2 linked regions of the Alligator mississippiensis genome follow. The protein of the gene in region 1 purifies or fractionates together with the protein of each later gene. This does not show direct contact. Links are inferred from orthologs where the notes say so. Each region holds a gene or a part of one and is shown in the gene's direction. Other genes may lie near its edges.

Evidence for each region. Proteins that work in one complex are often made in the same cells at the same time.
Region 2: the proteins of E3 ubiquitin-protein ligase TRIM39-like (region 1) and IRF3 purify together in Homo sapiens (affinity purification with western blotting; 3 studies listed by BioGRID, with this or other methods). This does not show direct contact. The link is inferred for Alligator mississippiensis from reciprocal best matches to the Homo sapiens genes TRIM21 and IRF3.

Annotation. Positions count from the first base shown.
Region 1 is NC_081824.1:485,829,230-485,832,972, forward strand, and holds the start of E3 ubiquitin-protein ligase TRIM39-like, read left to right. Parts: upstream 1-1,048; coding exon 1,049-1,073; intron 1,074-1,413; coding exon 1,414-1,943; intron 1,944-3,743. UniProt on the Homo sapiens protein: E3 ubiquitin-protein ligase whose activity is dependent on E2 enzymes, UBE2D1, UBE2D2, UBE2E1 and UBE2E2.
Region 2 is NC_081828.1:40,029,574-40,033,316, forward strand, and holds the start of IRF3 (interferon regulatory factor 3), read left to right. Parts: upstream 1-1,014; 5' UTR 1,015-1,027; coding exon 1,028-1,322; intron 1,323-1,645; coding exon 1,646-1,821; intron 1,822-2,263; coding exon 2,264-2,353; intron 2,354-2,466; coding exon 2,467-2,647; intron 2,648-2,809; coding exon 2,810-2,895; intron 2,896-3,127; coding exon 3,128-3,182; intron 3,183-3,447; coding exon 3,448-3,495; intron 3,496-3,726; coding exon 3,727-3,743. Other genes in the region: BCL2L12 (bcl-2-like protein 12), read right to left, coding at 303-616.

The DNA of each region.
Region 1 (3,743 bases):
AGTTTAATCAAGAACTCACTCTTATCAATCCAAGGCCTATTACTCACTGCGTACTTGTTGGCAGGTGAACTGCTCAGCTGTCCCTTTGCCCAGAAACAGAAATGGGGCAGATGAGACAACTTTATTGTGAGTTTTGAGTGCTTCCATGAACATGGAGCAAGCTTCTTTGCATCTACCCTGTGGTTAGGGCACGAACAGGGGCAGTTTCCATGCCATGCCAGGTACCATGGTGGAGGAACTGACCCCAAGTTCACAATCAAGCTTTCCTTACAGTAACGGGACCTCAAACCCTTCTTTCCTTCTCTGGGCACCTGCTGCTCCAAGTGCGTGGGGAGTTTGAGATCCCTGATCTTGGTGTGTGACCTACTGGCTGGCTTGTCAGGCTGCAGGAAGCTGCTCTCTGTCTAGCTCAGGGGTCAGCAATGTTTTTGGGCAGAGTGCTAGAACATCCACAAACTCTACCTGTAAGATGCTGGTGGGCCAGGGGCAAATGGCCGGGGAGCCATGATGGGCCCAATCCTTCTTGTGGCAGTGCCAAACCAGCCCTTTCGCTGCTGTCTGCCCTGAGGCACACATGCCAAGCACAATGCCTTTACGTGTCACACTCTGGAACCTGTGCTAGGATTGCTAACCCCTCATCCAGCTTGTAGGCACTATCGGATAGCTCCACTTCCACAGAGCTGGGGTGCCCCTGGGGTGATAACAAATGCCTTCAGGTCCTGGGCATCACAGCTGGCAGAGGTCCCATAAGGTGAGGACAGCTATGCAGGGGTTGACGGGGGAGAAATGAAGGGAACAGCCCTGTGACAGGCTGGTTTCTGCCCCACTGGCCTGAGGTCTGGGCTCACTTCCCTTGTGTGGATGCTGGACCCAGCTCTCTGTAATGCCTGGGAAGGCTGATGGACCCCGTTAGTGTCAGGATGGCTCTAAGGGACTGTGTGGTGTCTCCGTAGCTCCCTGTGCCACAGGCCTGATGAGAACCTGTGATCATCTTCTGCCCTTGTGAGTCCTAAGCACAATCTCCAAACCTGTGCCACCTCTGGGCAGAATGGCACGCAGCTGGCCTGGCACAGGTGGGACTTAAGGGGTGAGAATTAGAGCAACAACTGGGAAATTCATGTTTGGAGTCACTGGTTGCAGGATGGGAAATTAAAATAAATTGAAATTTTAAAAATCCTGCATCATGTTGAAGGCACTGCACAGCGCACTGATGGAGTGTACTGTTTCCTGCGTGTTTGTGAGTCAGGGGTGGTTTCTCATCTCTGCCCCCCTGCCTGTGAACAACCTGTCTCCCCTCCCTTTCTCCTCCCTGCCTCTATTGTTCCTTGCCCTCATCCCTCCTTTCTGTCCACTCAGGTTACTTCTTCCTTTTGCTGTCCCTTTGCCCCCATGGCCCCTCCTCTCTGTTCTTAGAAGTGCGCTTAGAGGAAATCACCTTCTGTTCTCAGGTAGGCACCACCCAGGACAAGCCCAGCCTGCACAGAGCACAAAGAACAATCAGCAGAAGACGGGGCCGTGCAGCCTCAGACCCTCCAGGACAGGACATGGCTGAAGAGGCCACCTGCTCCATCTGCCTGGACCTCCTGAAGGAGCCGGTGACCATAAACTGTGGACACAACTTCTGCCAAGTCTGCATCACCCGATACTGCGAGGACCGTGTCGATGACTCAGATGACCCTGTCCCCTGTCCCAGCTGCAGAGCAGAATTTCAGAGAGGGAGCTTCCCGCTCAACACTCAGCTCAAAAACCTGGTGGAGAAGATTAAAGAGCAGAGTGTGAAACCAGGAAAGGAGCAGACGGAGAATCACTGTGTGGAGCACGAGGAGAAACTCAAGCTCTTCTGTGAGGAGGATGGAAATGCCATCTGTCTGATCTGCAGGGAGTCCCTGGCTCACCACAGTCACACAGTGCTCCCCATCCAGGAGGCTGCCAACAATTACCAGGTAGGTGACACCAAAGACCTAGGAAAGCCCATTGCACAGACACACACTTACCTGGCAGGAGACATCCCATGATTGGTTTCAGCTCAGGTGGTTGTTCTTATCAGGCAAAGGCAATCCCCTTCTCTTCGTCTGTGAATGACTTAGTGTAGCTGAGTTGAAGGTCTATCTCTTGCACTGCAGGCAAGCTGACCTCTGAGAGAGTCTGCAAATGCCTCCCGATGCAAAGATTGGCTCATTGGTCGCACCCAGAGAGGGGTGGTGGACAGATCGGTTTTGTCATGGAGGGATATGGGCAGTGGAGTTCCCCAGGGCTCGGTCCTCGGGCCTGTGCTATTCAACATGTTTATCAGTGACTTGGAGTGGGCGTGGAAAGCACACTGTCCAACTTCAGTGATGACACAAAGATGTGGGGCGAGGTGGGCACACTGGAGGGGAGGGGAGGGACAGAACCCAACTAGATCTAGACAGGTTACAGAGGTGGGTGGATGAGAATAGGATGGAGTTCAACGCAGACAAGTGCAAGGTGCTGCATCTAGGCAGAAGGAACCAGCAACACACCGGTAGGCTGGGGAATACCTTTCACAACAACACAGCTGCTGAAAGAGATCTTGGAGTCATTGTTGACTCCAAGACAAACATGAGCCACCAATTCAAGGAAGCAGTCAGGAAGGCTAACGCACCTTCTTGTCATGCATCCACAGATGCATCACAAGCAGGGCCAAGGAGGTGATCCTCACCATCTATGTGACACTGGTCAGGCCGCAGTTGGAGTACTGCGTCCAGTTCTGGGCGCCACAACTCAGGAGGGATGTGGCCAGCATCGAGAGGGTCCAGAGAAGGGCCACTCGCATGACCAGGGGGCAGCGGGGCAGGCCCTCCAAGGATAGACTAAAGGGCCTGAATCTATTCAGCCTCCACAAGAGAAGACTGAAAGGGGACCTGGTGGCCATCTATAAACTCACTGGGGGGACCAGTGGAAAATAGCTGATGCTCTGTTCCCTCAGGCACCACCCAGGATAGCAAGGAATAACAGCCACAAATTGATTGAGAGCAGGTTCAGCCTGGATATCAGGAGGTATTTCTTTATGGTTAGGGCTGTCAGACTCTGGAATGGGCTCCCAAGGGAGGTGGGGCTCTCCCCTACCTTGCGGGTCTTCAAAGGGAGGTTGGACAGATATCTGGCTGGGGTATTATGATCCCAGCACTCGTTCCTGCCCAGGGCAGGGGGTCAGACTTGATGATCTGTTCAGGTCCCTTCTGACCCGAGTAGGTATGAAACTATAAGATCTTGAACAGAAAACTTAAGTTGATGAGGAATAGCTCTTGGGCTTGCCTTTAGCTTGCTCCTTTGGCCTTTTGGAAAAATGAAATTAGTGGGCACCTGAACTCCAAGGCCTCTGGGCTTGTGGCTTGCACATAGGATGCTTGCCATGGATTTGGCATTATCTGAAGCCCCAACCTGAAGTGTCTGCAAGGGAGAGTACTTGCTGGTGGTAGCACCACATGGCCATGAATGATTGAGCTCTGCTTAGTTGATAGGATTGAGAACTAATTTGGCCAAAGAGATAACATTTTAAAAAAGAAATACATTTTGTCTAGTGCAAGGTGTGGAGAAATCACCCAGCCCCCAGCCCCCCCCCCGAGTAAATCGCCCAGTATAGCGGGGGAGAGGCACCTTCTGGTCACTGAATCATGCTCTGGGCCTCCAGAATTCCCTGGACATGGATGTGAGTAACTTACCTGAAATCTAGTGAGGAACTTAGATTGAGGTGCTCTAGTCGCATATCAAAAGGTTAACCA
Region 2 (3,743 bases), on another chromosome or scaffold:
TCCACTCCCCCAACCTCAGTGCATACCCATGGGCCCCCCCTCAGACTGCTGTGGATGCTCCTAGGGTCCCCCCTGCCCCTGCAGATCTGCTCAGAGCCCCCCTCACCCACCACCAAGGTGCCTCTAGGGTCCCAGCCCCTGTAGAGCCCCCCATAATACACTCCCTGCAGAGCCCCCTATACCATAGTTCCACCCCCCACAGTCCCCTGCCCGGCTCCTGGGTTTGCCCTCCATCACCCGCCTCTAAAGACCCCCGAGGTTTCCTAGCCCCGGCCCCAGACCCCCCCCCCGTGTCCCCTCACCTGTGTGCGTAGCGCTGGGGGTCGTGGTAGCTGCGCCCCACATGCCCGGGGGCCCCCGCGCCTCCCCGGCCCTGCAGAAATGCCTCCAGCACCAGCCGGGTTTCGGCCTGCACTCGGCACCGCGGACGGGGTGGCGCTGGGGCCCCCGCCATGGCCCAGCCTGTGGGGGGGGAGCAGGCAGGGCTGAGCACGGGAGCACAAGGGGCCTGCCCGTGTCCCCGTGCGGGAGCACCTGGGGGGGACCCACTGAACCCAGGTGTCCCGGGACACCTAGGGGAGCAGAGCTGGGAGCCTTGCTTGGAGTGGCAGTGCATGGGGGCAATGTCCCTAACCCAGCTGCCCCCAAGTCCCCCCCGCCGCCCCTCACCCTGCCCGAGGGGGGGGGGGGGAAAGCTCCGCAGCGGCCGGGACCTGCGTTCCCCCCTACATCCAAAAGGGGACTCAAACTTCTGGACCTGGCCACTGCGCATGCGCCCCACCCTCTCCTCCGCCAAACGGGGGGGGGTGGCTATGCGAGGGGGCGGGGCCTACCCAGACCACGCCCCGTGACTTTCTGCCGGTTCGCAGGACCGGGGGGAGGGGTGAGGAATACTCTGTGCAAATGAGGGTTGGGTGGGATCTTACAGCTCATTTGCATAGGCGCATCTCTCTCTCTCTCTCTCTCTCTCTCTCTCTCTCTCTCTCTCTATTTCTCTGGGGCAGGGGCTGCTCCCACCCCCATTTTTATGGGGACTCCGCAGGGGGGTTGCCCCCCGCTCAGTGAGGCTAAGTCCCGTGTTATGGGGGTGACCTACTCCCCACAGCTCCAACAGCCCCCGATCACCCCTCTTGGGGCATGGCCCTCACCCCCACAAGTCAGAAACCCCCCACCCCGAGACGGGTCCCCCAAGCAGGGGGCTGCACCCCCACCCCCAACTTGGGAGGGTCGCTCCAGGGGGAATCAGAAACACTTCGGTCATGTGACCCTCCGGGATGTGACGTCACAGGCGAGGATTTGGAACTGCTTCCTGGTGGGGCTGGGTAGGCATGGGGTTGGGGGAAGGACCTTCTTATGCGGGGAGGAAGGGATACCTCCCTGCGCTGCCTGGGGTGGGATCGGGGCCCTGGAGGAAAAAGGCCCGTGGGATCCCCGCCCTGCACCCAGCCAGGATCAGGCCCGGTGGCCCGCAGGGGGGAATTCCCCTGCTCCACCCCCAACCAGCACTGGGGCGGGATCGGGACTCCTTGGAGGGGGAAAGCTCCTGCTTGATGCCCTGCCAGGATTGGGCCCAGCCACACCCTGTTGGGAAAAGGGGGTGGGGAGCAGCCCCTGCTCCCTTGACCATTGTGCCCCACTCCTCCAGGCGCTGCTGCCATGGGGTCCCAGCGGCCGCTGCTGGTGCCCTGGCTGCGGGAACAGCTGGACAGTGGGTGCTACCCGGGTGTGTGCTGGCTCAATGCCGAACGCACCCGGTTCCGCGTGCCCTGGAAGCACGGACTGCGCCATGATGCCGCGCGTGAGGACTTCCAGCTCTTCCAGGTAGGGTGCCTGACTCCCTGCATGGGCTACCCCTACCAGGGCTGTGTCTGGGAGTGAGGGGCAGTGACAGGACCTTGGGTGACAGGGGGCTGGCATTGAGGGGCACCAGCAAGGGGGGGGGGGGTTGTGAATGAGGAGCAGCGACAGGGCTGGGGTGGCAGGGAGCTGCGGGTCAGGACTGAGGGGTATTACCAGGGCTGGGGTGGGCAGGGGCTGCAGGTCAGGAGCGGGCAGGGGCTGCAGGTCAGGAGCGAGGGGCACCAGCAGGATTGGGGTGTTGGGAATGAGTGACACTGGCAGAGCTGGGGGGGGCCGGGGGGCTGCAGGTTGGAAGTGAGGGGCATCGGCAGGGCTGGAGGAGGCAGGGGACTGCCAGGTGGGAGTGAGGGGCACAACAGGGGGGAGTGAGGGGTCTCTCATTTCTTCTCAGTCTCTTGCCTAGGTATGGAGGGCCTGGGAGGCCGAACATCTGGGTTCTTTCCTAGCAGGCATCTTCCCTGTGGGCAGGGCAGGGCTGGGGGCAGCGGAGGAGGTAGGGGGCTGCATGAGGGGCACTGACAGGGCTAGAGGTGATCCCAGGGCTGGGTGCAGGGACCGGTGGGTTGGGAGTCTCCCTGCTGTCCCTGCCACATCTTTCCTTTCCAGGACTGGGCCACTGTCAGTGGGTGCTATCATGCAGGTACTGCCCCTGTGCCCTCCATCTGGAAGAGGAATTTCCGCTCGGCCCTGAACCGGAAACCTGAGTTCAAGGTGGTCGAGGACAACAGCTCTGATGCCACCGATCCCCACAAGGTCTATGAGATCCTGCCTGTGGGGGTGCAGGCTGGTGAGTGGGGCTGAGGTTTGGGAGTGAAGGACAGTGGCAGGGGGCTGCGGGGCAGGAGAATGGGGCACCAGGTAGGGCAGGGGGGCAGTGGGGTGCGGGTTGGGAGTAAGAGGCACTGGCCTGTGGTTCTGGCTCTTAAGCTTGGTTCTCCCTCCTCCCCAGGTGCAGATGAAGCCCCCCTGGTGGCAGGGAGGGCTGACACTCTCGATGGACCCCTAGAGCAGCTGTTAGGGGAGGGCTGCAGCCCGGTGGGTGCCTGGTGAAAGTGGGGCGGCCTGGGGTAGGGGCAGGACCTGTGTTGGGGGAGGAGGACATTCAAGAAGTTAAGGGTGGAGGAAACACCTGGGGAAGGGGCTTGAGGAGGTGGGTGGGGCCTGCAAAGGAGGAGGATGGGGCTAGTGAGGAGAGGGTAAGGGGTCTTCATCTGAATTGTGGGGGTAACCTTTTCTAAGACGCACCCAATTATGCCCCAACCACCAGGACTCGGACCTGGAGCAGTACGTGCATTTGATGACCCTCTGCAGCCCAGAGGAGGGTGAGTGATTCCCTGGGACCATGGGGGCAAAGACTGGGCTCTTGGTGAGGGGCACAGCATGCCCACACTGCTCAGCACCAGCTGCCTCTGGCACAGAAGCATCCAGAGACACTGTTTGACTGTCTGGAATCCAGGTGTCTGGGCTCCCAGCCCTCCCTCCACCCTTGCTGTAGCCCCCCAGGCCCCTCCCAGAGCTGGGATAGAACCCAGGCATCTGGGCCTCCTGTCCAGGCTCTTGCCAACCTCTGACCTCTCTCTGTTCCAGACATTTCTTCTCCAGATCTCTCACTGTTTGGCCCTGGGGAGGCAGTAGGTAAGTAAAGTAGATCAACAGCCCATGCCCTCGCCCAGCCCTTCTAGTGCCCCTCAGTCCCAACCTGCAGCCCTCTGCTCCCCCCTGCCTCCAGCCCTCCCGGTGCCACTCACTCCTGACCCGTAGCCCCCTAACTACCCTTAGCCCGGCTGGTGCCCCTTAGTCCTGTCCCATAACCCCCTGCTCCCTGCAGCATGTTGACGCCCTTCACTCCTGCCCTTCATTTCCCAGGGGATGCTGCAGTGCCT